Nothobranchius furzeri: one gene and its partners. The protein of the gene in region 3 purifies or fractionates together with the protein of the main gene of each other region. This does not show direct contact. Links are inferred from orthologs where the notes say so. Each region holds a gene or a part of one and is shown on either strand. Other genes may lie near its edges.

The links. The genes of interacting proteins can lie anywhere in the genome.
Region 1: the proteins of tnrc6c1 (region 3) and ago3a purify together in Homo sapiens (affinity purification with mass spectrometry; 3 studies listed by BioGRID and IntAct, with this or other methods). This does not show direct contact. The link is inferred for Nothobranchius furzeri from reciprocal best matches to the Homo sapiens genes TNRC6C and AGO3.
Region 2: the proteins of tnrc6c1 (region 3) and cnot1 purify together in Homo sapiens (co-immunoprecipitation; 4 studies listed by BioGRID and IntAct, with this or other methods). This does not show direct contact. The link is inferred for Nothobranchius furzeri from reciprocal best matches to the Homo sapiens genes TNRC6C and CNOT1.

Annotation. Positions count from the first base shown.
Region 1 is NC_091745.1:69,139,699-69,144,486, forward strand, and holds part of ago3a (protein argonaute-3), read right to left. Parts: intron 3,259-4,788; coding exon 3,124-3,258; intron 2,941-3,123; coding exon 2,853-2,940; intron 1,286-2,852; coding exon 1,138-1,285; intron 980-1,137; coding exon 860-979; intron 1-859.
Region 2 is NC_091744.1:81,587,535-81,592,322, reverse strand, and holds part of cnot1 (CCR4-NOT transcription complex subunit 1), read right to left. Parts: coding exon 4,632-4,788; intron 4,468-4,631; coding exon 4,351-4,467; intron 4,255-4,350; coding exon 4,144-4,254; intron 4,004-4,143; coding exon 3,926-4,003; intron 3,697-3,925; coding exon 3,519-3,696; intron 3,292-3,518; coding exon 3,137-3,291; intron 2,910-3,136; coding exon 2,613-2,909; intron 2,521-2,612; coding exon 2,380-2,520; intron 2,258-2,379; coding exon 2,153-2,257; intron 2,031-2,152; coding exon 1,875-2,030; intron 1,672-1,874; coding exon 1,477-1,671; intron 1,388-1,476; coding exon 1,245-1,387; intron 1,121-1,244; coding exon 1,012-1,120; intron 911-1,011; coding exon 741-910; intron 317-740; coding exon 85-316; intron 4-84; coding exon 1-3.
Region 3 is NC_091752.1:54,019,828-54,025,076, reverse strand, and holds the start of tnrc6c1 (trinucleotide repeat-containing gene 6C protein), read left to right. Parts: upstream 1-2,008; 5' UTR 2,009-2,127; intron 2,128-5,249. UniProt on the Homo sapiens protein: Plays a role in RNA-mediated gene silencing by micro-RNAs (miRNAs). Required for miRNA-dependent translational repression of complementary mRNAs by argonaute family proteins.

The DNA of each region.
Region 1 (4,788 bases), on a different chromosome or scaffold from region 3:
GGTTTAAAAAAAAAAAAAAGAAGTTCAAAGTTTAATAAAAAAAAGACCCTGCTAAAAGAAAACAATAATAAGTGTGTATTTGTATACACAAATCTACTTCCTCTAACCAAATCTAGAAGAAAATTCATTGTCACCCGGTATAGGCGGTTGATTTTTATCACTTTAGATTTGTTAAGGAAAAGATAAGGAAAGTGACCCAATTCAGCCTCTCACATGATGTGGGAATGTAATAAAGATTTTTTTTATTGAGTTCAGAGAATCCAAGCTTATTGGTTGGTGCTGTCAGTTCCCAGCCAGCGGTGCATGAAAACAGTCTGCTACATGTGCTGTAGTGTGCTCCAATCATTTTCTGTTTTAGAAAGCAGCTAGAGGGATGCGGTTTAATAAGCTAAATGCTAACTGAGGCCAGAGGACCACAATTATTATTATTTAAAGTCATTTGGTCTGATATTTTCATTATGGTTTATTTTTCGGTCTTTGTGCAGATCTGAAAAGTCATTACCAAATGCAATGTAAACACACGCAGACATGCCTCTGGTAATAACAGAAAATTAGAGACACATTAGGTGATTATATAAGAAAATAAATGCTACTACCTTCAAATATTATATTCTCAACTTTGCATTGCCCTAATTATGTTGATTCTTTTAAAAACCAGTTAAAAATTGTTTGTAATGAAATTTGCCCCATAAAATTTCAGGCTTTTACTCATTTTATTCAGCTTTATCTTTGCATTTATGCTCTTCTGTTTTAGCGCTCATCTTTCTGTAGATTTTGCTTTTTTTTTATGAACTTTCTAGTTTTTATATTTAAAAAAATGCTTCTATTGTGTTGAAAAACAATGCAGCTGAAAACTCACCAGCCTGCTGATCTCCTCCTGCCGGTCGGGTGCAGAGCGAGCTGTGGCTTTAATCATAGTGGAGGTCTGATTATCTGTCAGCTTCTTAATGCACCGTTGACCAGCTACGATGTTACAAACCTGCAAAAAAACAAACAATAAATAAATAAAATTAAAAAATGGATTTTATTTTATTACTTAGCAACAGGTCACACAGAAACAATCCCATCTTCATTACAGTGAAACTGACTTTGTTTAAAGGTTAATGTCAGATGACATCAAAGCTCGTTTTCTCTCACCTCCAGAGGCAGGTAGGTGTGTTTCTGCTCCTGGCCCACCTGTAGACAGGGCAAATGTGGGTACTTGAGCTGCAGGGTGTACTTCTCCCTGAAATACTGGGCTACTGTACGTTCTACAGTCTGGCCATTCTCCAGCTGTAGAGGGAACCTGAAATGAGAAAATAATGAATAAATATAAAAATAAATTCTAAGCTGGACTTGACAAACAACGCAGAACTCCTTTAAAGAACGCTCATAGCATGTCCCTCATTTCAGATCAGAGCTTTAAAGCATCTTATGTTAAAAGACTTTGGCCGTTTAAGAGTTCTTTTAAATAAAACCATGACTGATCTCCCAATTTATTGTTTGAGATTACCTTTATCTAATAGGACGCCACATTTTAGGTCACTATCTGTAGAACGGGCCGAGTAATGATAATTTTTATGTTGTTAAAGGGACTTTTCGGACTTTTGAATTTTTATGCTCGCGATCGCCCCCTCAGGCCAAAAGCGTAACGGCAGCTTCAGTAGTAGGCTCGTGCACGAGGCGCGCATGCTGAACATGCACACTCAACGAAAATAACAGCTGAAACAGTACCTTGTGTGTGTGTGTGTGTGTGTGTGTGTGTGTGTGTGTGTGTGTGTGTGTGTGTGTGTGTGTGTGTGTGTGTGTCCCAGAGGACAGGAGAATGAGCAGCTAATGAAATAATTTGGTTCTGTACCTTTCTCTTCAGCACAGCCGACTAAGGTTTAAGATGGGTCAGTCCTCCTGCATGCTCAGATCATTCCCTTCCCTTGCTTGAAAAATTGCTCCAAAATGAAAGTTGAACCCACGTCTTTTTTATCTGTGAATTCAATGCCGTTCGGCAAGTATCAAATAAAAATTTGGGCATCTTATTGTAAAAAAAAAAAAAACCATTAATGTAAAAAAGAAACTCTAAATGAACTATGTTCACACCCAGAATCGAACCCAGGTCTTCTGCATGAGAGTCAGACATCTTACAAGGTGAGCTACACACCAGTAACATTCATAGTATCTGTAACTTCTATATCCTTGATAACACCTGAAACAACGTCAAACCAAAGAACGGTTCAAAGCGAAAATGGCTATTTTGTTGCTAATTTGCAGGAAATATCTAGAAGAAAGTTCTACAGAAAGTAGCTAAGGGTCCTCAGAAATGTAGCTAGGTTCATCACTAGGCGTTAGGAACAGCGACAAAGTCGCTGAGTTGGCACTACCTCTCTCTCTGCTGCTAAAGCTACTGATAGCAAATGCTACGGGCTATGCCTGAGCGTGAACGAGCATGAAGCAGCCTGCTCGACCCGAGCATCTCTCTTTTTCTGTGATTTTACAGAAAAAGAGAGCTGCTCGACCCGAGCATCTCTCTTTTTCTGTGATTTTACAGAAAAACAGGCAATCACAGTAAAAATGCCAGGGCTCATTCTACAGGACCAGGGCACTGCAGGAGAATGTATGAAGAAGAAATTTATTATTTCTATACATGTTTTGGCTGTCAAACTTCCATAATGCCCCTTTAATGTTGACTATATTATACGTGAATGAATAAAGACACCAGCAGCAGCAGAACATTCCAGTAACAGATGACTAACATTGGCTGCATAACTGTTAGATGAGTAGGCAATTATCTTTAGTGGTGATGGGGATTACATGTGTGCCCCTAAATTACACGCACAGCCCCAAGTCTGTTCCCTCGCACGCCAAGAGGGCTGACTCACGTTTGATGGCTGGCAGGCCGCCGGGTCACGTTGCAAACTCGATATTTCCTCCTCATTGTTCCACAGTGTGTCACCTCCACCTTTAAACCTGGGAAACAGCATGAAACGTGTTGGAAGGAACACATATCTTCTTGAATTGCTGTTGCCATGTGCTCAGGCTAATCCAACCCAAAATGCCCCCCCCCCACACACACACACGCACGCACACACACACACGCTTAAACCGGAGGTAGAGCCCAGGAGCAGGCAGACGCTACACCTTCTGCTTCACCTTTGATTTCTTTGGTGAATTTGACCCGGTGAGAGTCTGTGAGAGGCCGCGGCTGCTCGTCGATGTTGTGGATATCCAGGACTTCACACATGAACTGGATCACAGGCTGGGCTTTATAGAAGGCTGTGGCAGAGACTGGAAAATGAGACAAAAATCCAGAATCATTTCTGTGTTCAAAAAGACAACCTCAACGTATCCGAACATGAAGGAATTATCCTCTAGTAATGAGCCTAAGCTATAGCATAAATCCCCCCAAATGATGATGCATTATTATGAATAGGATGAGAACTTTACTGCTAAATTATCACTTAATTATCTTTAATGACTTACTCTTTGATCTTCATCAGAAGTCTTGCATTTAAAAAAAGTCATTTCGAGTTGTCCTCCCATGTCACAAGCTTTCATCTCTACTCACGTAGAGATGTAAAGACATTTAAAAGCTCTCATCTCGGTAATTACACCCCAATACCAGAATCTCCGGCGCAGGGTTTGTTAAAAAACAGGCGTATTATACGTAGATTCAGCTACACGATAATACAGTAAGTGGTTTATAAACATTTTGAAGTTCCTCTCAGACACAGACATGAGGCCAAGGGGGTGGCCAACTGATTTACAAAGAGCGGGAAATTAAGACAAAGACAGAATCAGAAGAACTCAGAAGTAGACGGAGACTTTAAGCACTTGGGGCAACACAAAAGCGGTCTCAAGGAAATGCCCCACATAGCTACGCTCCTGACCCACCCAACACCCACACACACACAGACACACACACACACGCTTTGTTCCGTTTCCACAGCAACAGCTGCCATACAACTAAAATAAGTGAACATTCCTGCTTTTCAACCAAAGTTGTTTTAGACTTTAAAAGTTGGTTTGGAATCCATAAAACTCACATGAACACGCGCGCGCACACACACACAAACACACACACACACATCTACAGCTCGTGGCTCTGGCGTTGCAGACTCTGCTCCTGAAGCACAACATTTTGGGAGTGAAGCCGGTGCGTTGGTGGTGAAAACAGAGAACTGGCTCCACATTTGGAGCAAATTACAATTAAAAGACATTTTTATCACTGCTAAAAAGGCTCATTTCTGCCATATTTAAACACTTCTAGTCATTTAAAATACATCAGCAGTTCATCTAACATTGTATTAACCTTTACATTGTAATCATCTTCAAATTAGGGTTGCAACTAAATATTGGTGCTTGATTGTAGTCTGAGAAATAATCACGGTTTCACGATTACGGCATTTATTTACATGAATTAACTTCACATCTGTATTAACATATATAAAACACACACACACACACACACACACACACACACACACACACACACAGGGCTGCAACAACGAATCGATAAATTCGATGAAAATCGATTACTAAAAGCGTTGGCAACGAATTGCGTCATCGATTCGTTGTGTTGCGCAACTCTTCCAAAAGCCCCCTCCCCTCCTGCCCGCCGTTGCGCGCAGACCGGTGGAGAGCCGGCAGGTGTTTGTAAGAGGAACATGGCGGAAGCAGCAATACCCCAAAAAAGTAAAAACTTCTAAAGTTTGGGAGCATTTTCAGTTAAATCAGGCGAAGACATGCAACGTTTGTAGGTCAGACAGCATGGCCCGGGGATACTACGGTGATGATGCAGCATCTTAAACACAAGCA
Region 2 (4,788 bases), on a different chromosome or scaffold from region 3:
CATCTGGAGAAAACAAACATAAGGAAGTTTAACACGGATGACATGTAAATATTTGTGGGTGAATTATGAAATAAATGAGTTAACCTGGCCAACAAAAGCAGAGAAAGCCTTGGTGCTGTCCCTCCCAGCAGCAGCTGAGTGATACAGGTTGACCCATTCTCTCAGAAGGTACTCTGCCTTCTCCCTCAGGCCCGGTGGATCATCGTATTCTGAAGCCTGTGAAATCCCAGAGTGCATCATGAAGTTGGGGCCACCATGAGCACGATCTATCATGGCTTCATAGTTGGAGCGAACCACATCCATCAGCTGGGGAAGCCTGTGAACGGGGAGCAGCGGGGGTTAATGGGGTAACGTGTACCTTCACCAGGAAGCAGGACGATCGATTCAAGAGTCCGAATCTATTGAAATGCGATCAAACAGCTCACGGTGAAAGCACCAGACATCAGCACATCATACTGTGGTTTGTAACAAGGACATAAAAAGGAACAATGAGAGAAACCCTAAAGGTGTTTTAAAAACTAACTAATCTTAAATGCCAGACAGGATAGTGTGTGGGTTAAACCCTGGATTCTTATCAGGTCTTTTTCCTCATTCATAAGTGACGACTCTGAGGAGACGTTCACACCGGGAACGTCCACAACCATCATCTGGTTGGTTTCACTTTCAAAAACATTCACTTCCAACAGCTAAAAATGGGTGAGAGCAGAAATGTTCACAGAGCAACCAAACCAGATGTTTACCCTTCAGGTGCGTTGGCTCTGGAGTGTGCACAGGTCCTCATTAAGGTCTCAATAGTTTGGAAGAGGTCAGCTTCGGTCACATGGCTCACGCTGCGCTCATCCACCAGCAGCTGCTTCACAAGCTGCATGGCAAAAGCCACGGCCATGTAGTGCAACCCGTTCTCCATCGACTGGGAAGAAACACACAAAAGCACCATATGTGTGTGTGTATGTGAGAGAGAGAGAGAGCGAGAGCGAGAGAGAGAGAGAGAGAGAGACACACACAGCCTACCTGTGCCAGGTGCACGTCGTACTGCTGCATGTTTACTAGGTGGTTCCTGATCAGAAGCTCCACTGCCTCCACGTTGTACTTGTACTCATCCCGACATTCAATCAGACACCTTCCCACACAGAAACAAACTTAAACTCAGTAAGTCATTTAGATTTAACAAATCCATGTGGAGCTCTAAGAGTGGAGGGTTATCGGGTTAGTAACATCTCCATACAACATGCGAGTATATTAACCTGGTGATCTGCTTATTGCACCACTGTGGTCCGTATGCACGCCCATCCTGCAGGGACTTCAGCACCAGCAGGTGGCACTCCCTGTAGTGAAGCAGCAAGTCAGCATCAGCCCCTGTCGTAGCGTCCAGGAGGCCTTCCACAGCCTGAAACATTCAGAGAAACTTGACAATCAGCTTAAGAGTTCATCCTCCATCCAGAAGCTTCCCTGTAATTTTCGGTCTGAGTGTCCTACCTTCTGCAGGAGGCCAAGAGCAGCGATCCCATCCCTGGAGTTCCTGGCTAAAGCCACAGCTTCCAGTAAACTACGCAGACCCTGTGTCAGAGGATTCATGGCCAGTGCTGGAGGGATAGCATGAAGATGCTGCTCCAAGTCGGTGATGCATTTATCATAGATCTGAGCCACGTCGTCTGTGGCCCACACTTGGTTCTGCAAAACAAACACGCAACCAAAACTATGGGTTAAAATCAAGAATTCAGTCACAAAATATTCATTTAATTGTTGAATGTTTTAGTATCAATGTAGCTACTCTACGAGGTTACGGTCAAGTCTGGTGCAAAGGACAGAAACAATCTTATTAAGCATGCAGACACCTTTAAAGCGTTCCTTTCTTTCATCATTTTAGTTCTTACGTTTTGCTTTGGGATGGTCACAGGAGATAAATTCACCTTCATGGGCTGAGCCAAGAAGCCTGTGGGTTGTGAGAGATCATTGCTTGGTAGGAAACCTGGAATATTCCTGGCAAATTCCTCATAAACCGCCAGCTGCTTGGGATCCACTCCTCCCACCTGCAACAGTAAGCGGTTACTCAACAGGTAAAGAACACCTTGACAGCTGACTGAGTCTTTAGTCAGATATGAACAGAAACAAACAGAAGAGGCGCTGCTGATGTGGCACACGCGTGTTTTACCTTCAGCCTGATCTGTTCAGGCATTCGTTCAGCCTGATAAGTCAGAACAACAGGATCACAGTAACGACGGCCCTCTTGGCGAGCATGCTTCCTCAGTTCAAACTCCTGGAGCAGAGAACACACTCTGACTTTAAAAACTTACATTTATTATTAAAACAAACGTTTTGCACAATAAAGAGCTTGATAAACCACATGTACGTCCACACACACTCAGGGTATCAGCTCACCGTGGCTAGTCTCTTGTCCATTTCAGGGCCAGCTTTCTCCACGGCGGTTTTCTGAATGAAGCAACAAGCTAATTCACAGTTGTCTTGTGCGATCCTGGCAGCAGCCTCTTCCATCATCTCTCTCTGCTGCGGGGTTGGTGCCTGAGAGAAGGTCAAAGATAAAAGTCATCAGCCTGGTCACGGAAAGAAAGCTCACCCACTAACAAACACGTGGTAAGAAGAGCTGAACTCACTCTCAGCGCAGCCGCAAAGCTGTTCTTCAGATTGGTGGCGATACTCATGAGCAGGGGCTCCCGGCAGGTGATCATGGCCATGCCAGCTGTCAGGTTTCTCATCATGTGATGAGCAGCCACACGCATGCGGGACTCCTCTGAGTCCAGGGCAAAGTCCTTTCTAATGATCTGCTCACAAGTTGTCATGGCAATCTTGATGGAACGATCCACCACAGGGTGCACCAGCTCCTGGACCGCCCGCTCCACTGACTGCCGCACGCACTGTTTGAGCTGAGGATGAGCCTGCAGCAGAGGGATCTGCCGGGAAGGGAGCAGGACAGAAATGGTCAGATTTAATCTGAGTCTTAAAAAGTAAAGACCACACAAACACCAACAGAGATGTATCCTACTGTTCATGCGGCATCTTGTCACTTAATTGTTCTGATCAGTTCTCCCAAACACACAATATCTGTTTTGCTTTATTATCTATGGAATTATGAGCTCATCTGCTGAAACCAACGGCGTTTACAGGCTTTTAATCTTACGTTGATGTTTATATTGATGTGCGGCCCCAGGCCTGCCAGGGAATACACGTTGATGTCATGATAACTGAACTGTGGTGTGGGGGGGCCTGTGGTTGTGCAGGTGGTGGTGGTAGCAGCCGGGGTGGAGGGAGGAGCTGAAAATGGAACAAAGTCTCCTGTTGATCACAAAACACTCGTTTCATTAAAATCACAAAGAAAAGCATTCAATTCAGACAAAAAATGTACTGTGGTGTAAAAAGTAGACATGAAACAATTTCCAACATAAAAGATGAAAGCTGAACAGGTTAACTTTGTTTTCAGAGGAAGAGCTGCTGCAGATATAAGATGAGCTCTAAAGCATGGCTCCGTGCAGAAACAACATGTGAATAAATGGAGAAATCACCTGCGGTAGAGACGGGTAACATCTCCTCCGGAGGCTTGGCTTCTTTCTTTGGCGCCGACAGCTGCTCCTCCAGGTTCTTCAGCTTGTCTTTGTCCTTCAGCAGGTTTCCTGGCTTCAGCTCATTGATGTCCAGAGACAAGTTCTTACACAGAACTTCAATCTCAAACTTTAAATTCAACTACAGTGAAAAAAAAACAGAACATGTCACAAATACTTCAGATGCTTCTTTATTCTGGATAAAATTTGGACAAAAATAAAAATGTTCAGTTCTTAATGCAGCAAAAAGAAAAAAAAAGAAAAAAATAACTGGCTTCTATTTGCTCAGTTCTTGGTTTTTATTAACTTCCAGAAGTTGAAAACTTTATCAGTTTGATTTCTCATGAAAGTGAAAGAAGGTAATCTGTTACCTTGAGGTCGTGTTCCTGATGAAGCTCAGCTAGAACATTCATGATGGCCATGGTCCATGGATTCTGAGGTCTGAAAACCTGCAGCGTCACAGAAGCACAAACAGGAGGTTAAAGGTGCGGGACACTCGTTAAATCAATACATTTGCAGTGGTCTTTAGTAGGAATGAATGAATCATCTGTGTTCAGCCTACAAGCAGGACCCGGTGTCGGTTTCTCACCATGCTACGTAGACTGGACTCCAAGACTTTGGCCACAAACGGAACAACATACAGCAGCTCCTGCTGGCCTTTCACGTAGGCCTCCAGGAGCAGGGATTTGAGCTCCAGATCCTGAGAAGTACGTGTTTAGTATAATTATAGACCCCCCCAAAAAACACACACACACCATTTTACATGATGACCAACAAGCTTAAAGCCTATTCTTACTGTATAAAGGATCGGCTTGTTTTTGGCCAGCGTGATCATGCCCAACCAGTGACCCAGGTTCTTCAGCAACGAGCGATCAGAGAAGTTAGCAGCTGCCTTGTCTGACGTCAGAAGCACCTGTCAGGGACACACGTTATAAATGTCTGCTCATACCTGGATGCCCTATACATACATACCATCATCATTTTCACAGAACTGTCTGTTAAAACAGTAAAAAAAAACAAAGTACAAACCAAAATGAGATAAAAGGATGCCTTAAAAGTTTGTTTCTCGTTCATTACCTTAATGTTTCTGTAAGTTTCATTGAGAACCATCTTGACAAACTCTGGGTTCTTCAAAGTGTCCAGAAAGTTGGAGTAGAGGCTGTGGAAGTTGGGCTCAATGCTGACGCGCTTCATCACCAGGTACTGAGACACCCATGGCATGAACTCTTCTTTC
Region 3 (5,249 bases):
GCTAATTGTCAGTGACTGAGTTGTGATTTTCAAACCAAGGAGCCATTTGGCTACCTCTGGTAGAGCTGAGGGGGTCAGAAAATCCTGGTAGTTCTAGTGTTAAATGCCATCTTTCCTTCGTGCCGGCTCGAGGTCTTGTGCCTGTCGATGAGCTGGATATACAACTTCACTACGTTACCACGATAAAAACATTTAGTACATTCAGTAAGAAACAGGAATCTAATAACAAAACTGATAAGCTGTTAAAACCTAACAGAATCAAAAAAGAGATGCAACATATATTGGCTGAGTGGTGTTGGTAGTATGATGATGTCATTGGCAGGCGCAGGACCCCAAGCAGATCCGGAAACTAGCGCCTGAGAACTAGCATCAGCACTGCATTCTCTCGATGAAAATAACCGAAGGACCAGTAAAGTCTGAGGAGTCACACCAAGGTCACGTGCTTTCTGCTCCTCAGGTAACAACATTTACCGAAATGTCTTTTTTAAACTAGCGACAATCACGGTGATACAGTGTAAAACTATCCTGAAATGTATGTATGTACTGCCAGGAAACTACACACTGCCACTTTAAAAACGACTCTTCAATTCCAATTTTGAACATGACACTTCTGCTAAGATACGCTCTGAGGTGGAAACTGCCCAACAACTTGGAACATGGAGTTATCAACAAGGATGCAACTTCAGACACAACGCCATCTTGTTTTAACTTAAAAAAGTGACCTTAGGCTGAAAATGTGATTGTTATCGAGTATTTAATGTGTTGTATTGTTGATTAATGAGAAATTGTGCAGCATAGAAAAACAATGCGTGAAACGACGCATACATTTCTAGATTTTGATGTATATTTTTCAAATATACTAAAATGTTGGTAAAAGAAGATTGATTGCAAAATAATACATATTTTTATTAATATTAGACATGTGTGACATCGCCAACCACAATAGCTGACAACTCAATGGAAAAATCATCAACTTACAATGTGATTTTTTTAAACATAAAATAAATCAAATGCCCATTATAATGGGCTTATGTAAAGTCTAAGTATTTGTGACCTCTGAACTGTGAAGTCCGACTGAGCCAAAGAGCTCCAAAGGGTGCTGAATTTTCTCGTTTCTATATCTTGTTGCCTTGCAGGTTTTTGTGTGTTTGGACCATGTTGTTTGGTGTACTGCCATTAAAAGTCATAGCACACTGTTCCCAATGAAACCGCATGAATGGACGTATGATTGCCATGCTTTCGTTTGGACACTCTGTTTAGAGCTGCGTGGCACAAAAGCAAACTTAAATTGTGAAAGAAAAAGAAAACCCAAAGCACTATTTGGTTCATCTTTCTAAAATGCTAACACACACACACACACACACACACACACACACACACACACACACACACACACACACACACACACACACACACACACACACACACATTCTCCCATTTAACACACACACACACACACACACACTCACACACACACACACACACACACACACACACACACACACACACACACATTCTCCCATTTATTTTGAGAAGTAACATCTCCATCCTGGTGAAATATACCACCCGTATCCGAATTGTCTTCAGCACAGCCCCCTGTACCCCCTGTACCCTGCTGCACAGATGCCATGATAGAGAGACACACACTGACGCTGATGTTGCTACTACCCCGGTTTGCAGCAGAATACAAATTGTGCCCTCTGTTGGTCTTCTAACAGAGTACACCAGCAGTCAACATGTGCAGCTTCTCCTCATCGGACAGTTTACCTCTCACACGTAGATTGTTGACTTTTACAGCCGCTTATTCTCGTGTTTGGTAAAAAAAAAAAAAAAAAAAAAAAAAAAAAAAAAAAAGGGTTATTAAAGCTGATGCAAGCTGTGAGAGCATCCGCAGCAGCAAGCCAGTGGCAGAAGGGCTGCAGTTGTCATGGAAACGCCGGAGGAGGAGGAGGAACATTTTGGAGGGGGACCCGTTTGTTTTGTTATTGAAGGTCACGTGGCAATCCGAAGCTCCGCCCCTTCCCCCGTTACCACGGATTCAACCGTCTCGAGCTCCTGCTCCGGTCAGTTACTACAAAATGGCTGCAGAGGCTCCTCCGCCTGCGAGAACCGACTAAACGCTTCATGGTAGGATTTATTTGTCACTCTGGGCGGTAAAACGAGGAGAAAATAGCACGAATTTAGCCTTTAGCTTTGCGCTCAATGTGCATATCTGTGTCGGCTGGTAGGTCGTGAATATTTTCAGTTCACCCCTCTCTTGACACCAGTGTTGTTTTGGCCTCGGGAGCTCGGCTTGAACGAAGTTTTCGGTGTTTTATGGCTTCCGCGAATAGCTGTCGAGTTTAGGAGGCTGTTTGTGTTTGTAGGCGGCCGGAGCAGCGCTGCTGCTGCTGGGACTCAAGGGCGCCTGGAGTCGCTGCTGCTGGTCTGTTTCTTGTTGGCAGATTGGTGGGACGCTGCCGCTGCTCCACCGCTGCTGCTGGAGACTTGACATGGAGATGATTATTGCCGCTCATGTGCACACATTGTGCTGGAGCAGGATGCACCACTACCTGGCTGTTTAAATCCCCCCCAGTCTCTGCCACTGGGAGCGTTTGCCTCACGCTTTTCTGCGCTCTAGTCAACAGCACCTGTCACGTTTGAAACTCCGTGCACGTGCTTTAAATCTCATATTTCTGCTCGGATTTATTCCTGGAGAAGACAGTGTTGAAAATCTGGCTTGTCAGTTCTTTGTTTGCAGCATGTCAGCATTTAGAGACCTGTGTAATCTCTGAGATCCGATGCCTCCATCCTCTTCATCGCAGCATGTTCTGCAGTTTGGCATCAGGCTCACGCGCGCCCGTGCGTTTGTGTGTGTGCGCGTGTGCAGACTGGGAATGCCTGCGCCCTGATGCATGCAGAGGGGCAGACTGACGTAAGCTTTGATTCCTGCCTGGGTCACTAATGTGTTGGTGTTCCTAATTTTGTCCTGGAGGTGGTGGCGGTTATGAGAAGGGGTCATCAAGGTTTTTTTCATGGCCGAGTCGGGTCAAGGGGGGAGCCCTAGTGAGCACCCACGGCCCTGAAAGAGGCAGTTTCTATTCAGAGAGAGGCACCAAAGGGGGTTGATAACAAAACCAGACCGCTAAATGCTGTGATTATAATACAGCTTAGGTCATAGCTTCACTTTCAGCTCAGAACCCTCCATGACCTTTTGCTTAAAGTTGGACTGAAAGGCTAGAGGGCGTTACTTTTGTAAATTCTTTAAACTCAAATGAAATAAAAGTTCACTTAAAGGAGCAATGTGTACGAATTATACTGTACAATAATCACAAAACAGTATAATCTCTCAATCGCGCTGGAAGGAAGGCTATACTGAAACAGATTTATTTCTCAGTGGGCTCGGGGGGTATTCAGGTTTTCTCCTTTTGAATAAAATGAAGCGGGATGTAGTTAATGTTTACAATCAGTGAGTTTGTGAGGTTTTATTTGTCTCCGGCAAGCTAAAGCTCCAGTTCTGGCATTTGTAATTTGACACCGGCCGACAAAAAGCTCCAGAGTTGTTTAAAGAACCGAAGCCGGTAAACAGGAGTGACCCAGAAGTTATTTCTTATACCCCTAAGAAGCCACGGCATCTTTTTGTTTTTCTCTATCTGTGAAGCAGGCTAGAGGCTAACATTAAGCTACCAAGGCTAACAGTGAATTAGGGCAAATAGTCAGTTCTAAAAATATCTCAAACTTCTTTTTTAATCACCAAAACCTCAATATTACAGTGAAATGTATGAGTGAAGTGAATAATGAGTCAGTCGTTACTTCCTTTAATGTTCGTAACTTGTTTTCGTACAAGTTTAAATTGTACATTTTGTCTTGTATATTTGTGTGATGTTTGCTGCAGGACTCCCTTGAAAAAGAAGTTTTAAATCTCAGTGGGACTTTTTTCCTGGGTAAATAAAGGTTAAATAAAAAAATAAAAATAAAAACAAGATGCCAAATGACCACAATTCCTCTAATGCTGGAGAAACATTACTTTAATAAGTGTAGTAAATGCTCCATGCTATGGCTGGGATGATAATCAATAAATCAATTAATCATACGATAGATGAAAATTAACTGAATAATTTTCCCAGCCTCAATATATCGAGGTAAAAAAAATGTACAACTCTATTATTATTATTATTATTTTTAAAATCATTATTATTATTTATTATCATTGAAGTGCAGTTTGGTTGTTTTGGAGAGACGGGGTCTATTTTATTGTTTTTTGCACAATATTTTCTAACAGAGTGAGAGTCCTTTTTAATTTATTTATTTATTGTTTGTTTGTTTTTATTTATTTGTTTAGAGGTTCTGGACATTCCAATGTTAAATAAAAGTTTAATTGTTGCATTTTAAAGCGTGTACTTGCATTATTATGATATTAATATTACGTAAGTGGTTATTTTGGTCTTGATAATGTCGACAATAATATCGTTTATCATCAATAATTTATTGGACAATATATCGTCCAGCAAAATGTATCGTCCCAAGTCTACTCCGTACCGTAAAATTACTAGAGTGCCAACATCAGATATAACAATGTATTTATCTACTTGTTAACTTACTGTGTATGACTCGTCATTGTTAACGTCGTTTGAATATAACAGCGTCACTAACAGCATTCTTTTTTGGGTAACGGAATAATCTAATCAATTACTTTTCCCACTGTTGCAACGCCGTTACCGTTACTGGGGATGGAAGGTTGTGCGTTACTATGTGCTTGTCGAACGTTGAGCAACAGTGTGAGGCTTTCTGACCGCCACACTTCAGCTGCAGCCAGGGAGAGAGAGGTGTCGGTAACGCACTAACAAACACGATGATGATTGGCCGGGTGGGCGGAGACCCTCAGTGTTCTCACTGTCTCAGTCGCTGCCTGCTGTAGACCCAACAGAGCAGTGATGGGAATAATGCCATTTAAAATAACCACGTTAATAAAAAAAAATATTCTTTCTGTAACGAACAAACTAATTAATTACCGTCTTCTTTTAACAAAACGATAGTTTCTGTTACTGATAAGGAAATGCGTGCGTTAAGCAGCGCAGTGTGTTGAAGCTGTCATCAGCTAATGAGGAGCTAAAGAGGCAGATGTTTTCATCCAAGCGCATCTCGGCCCGTGAAGAACGAGGAAGACGTGATGAATTCGTTGCTGCAGCAGCGGATCTGCTGGTCTGCAGCCGTGCCCTTCTTAGAGTGACGTCCCGAAGGTCCGCTCACCTGTTCACCGCTCGGACGTC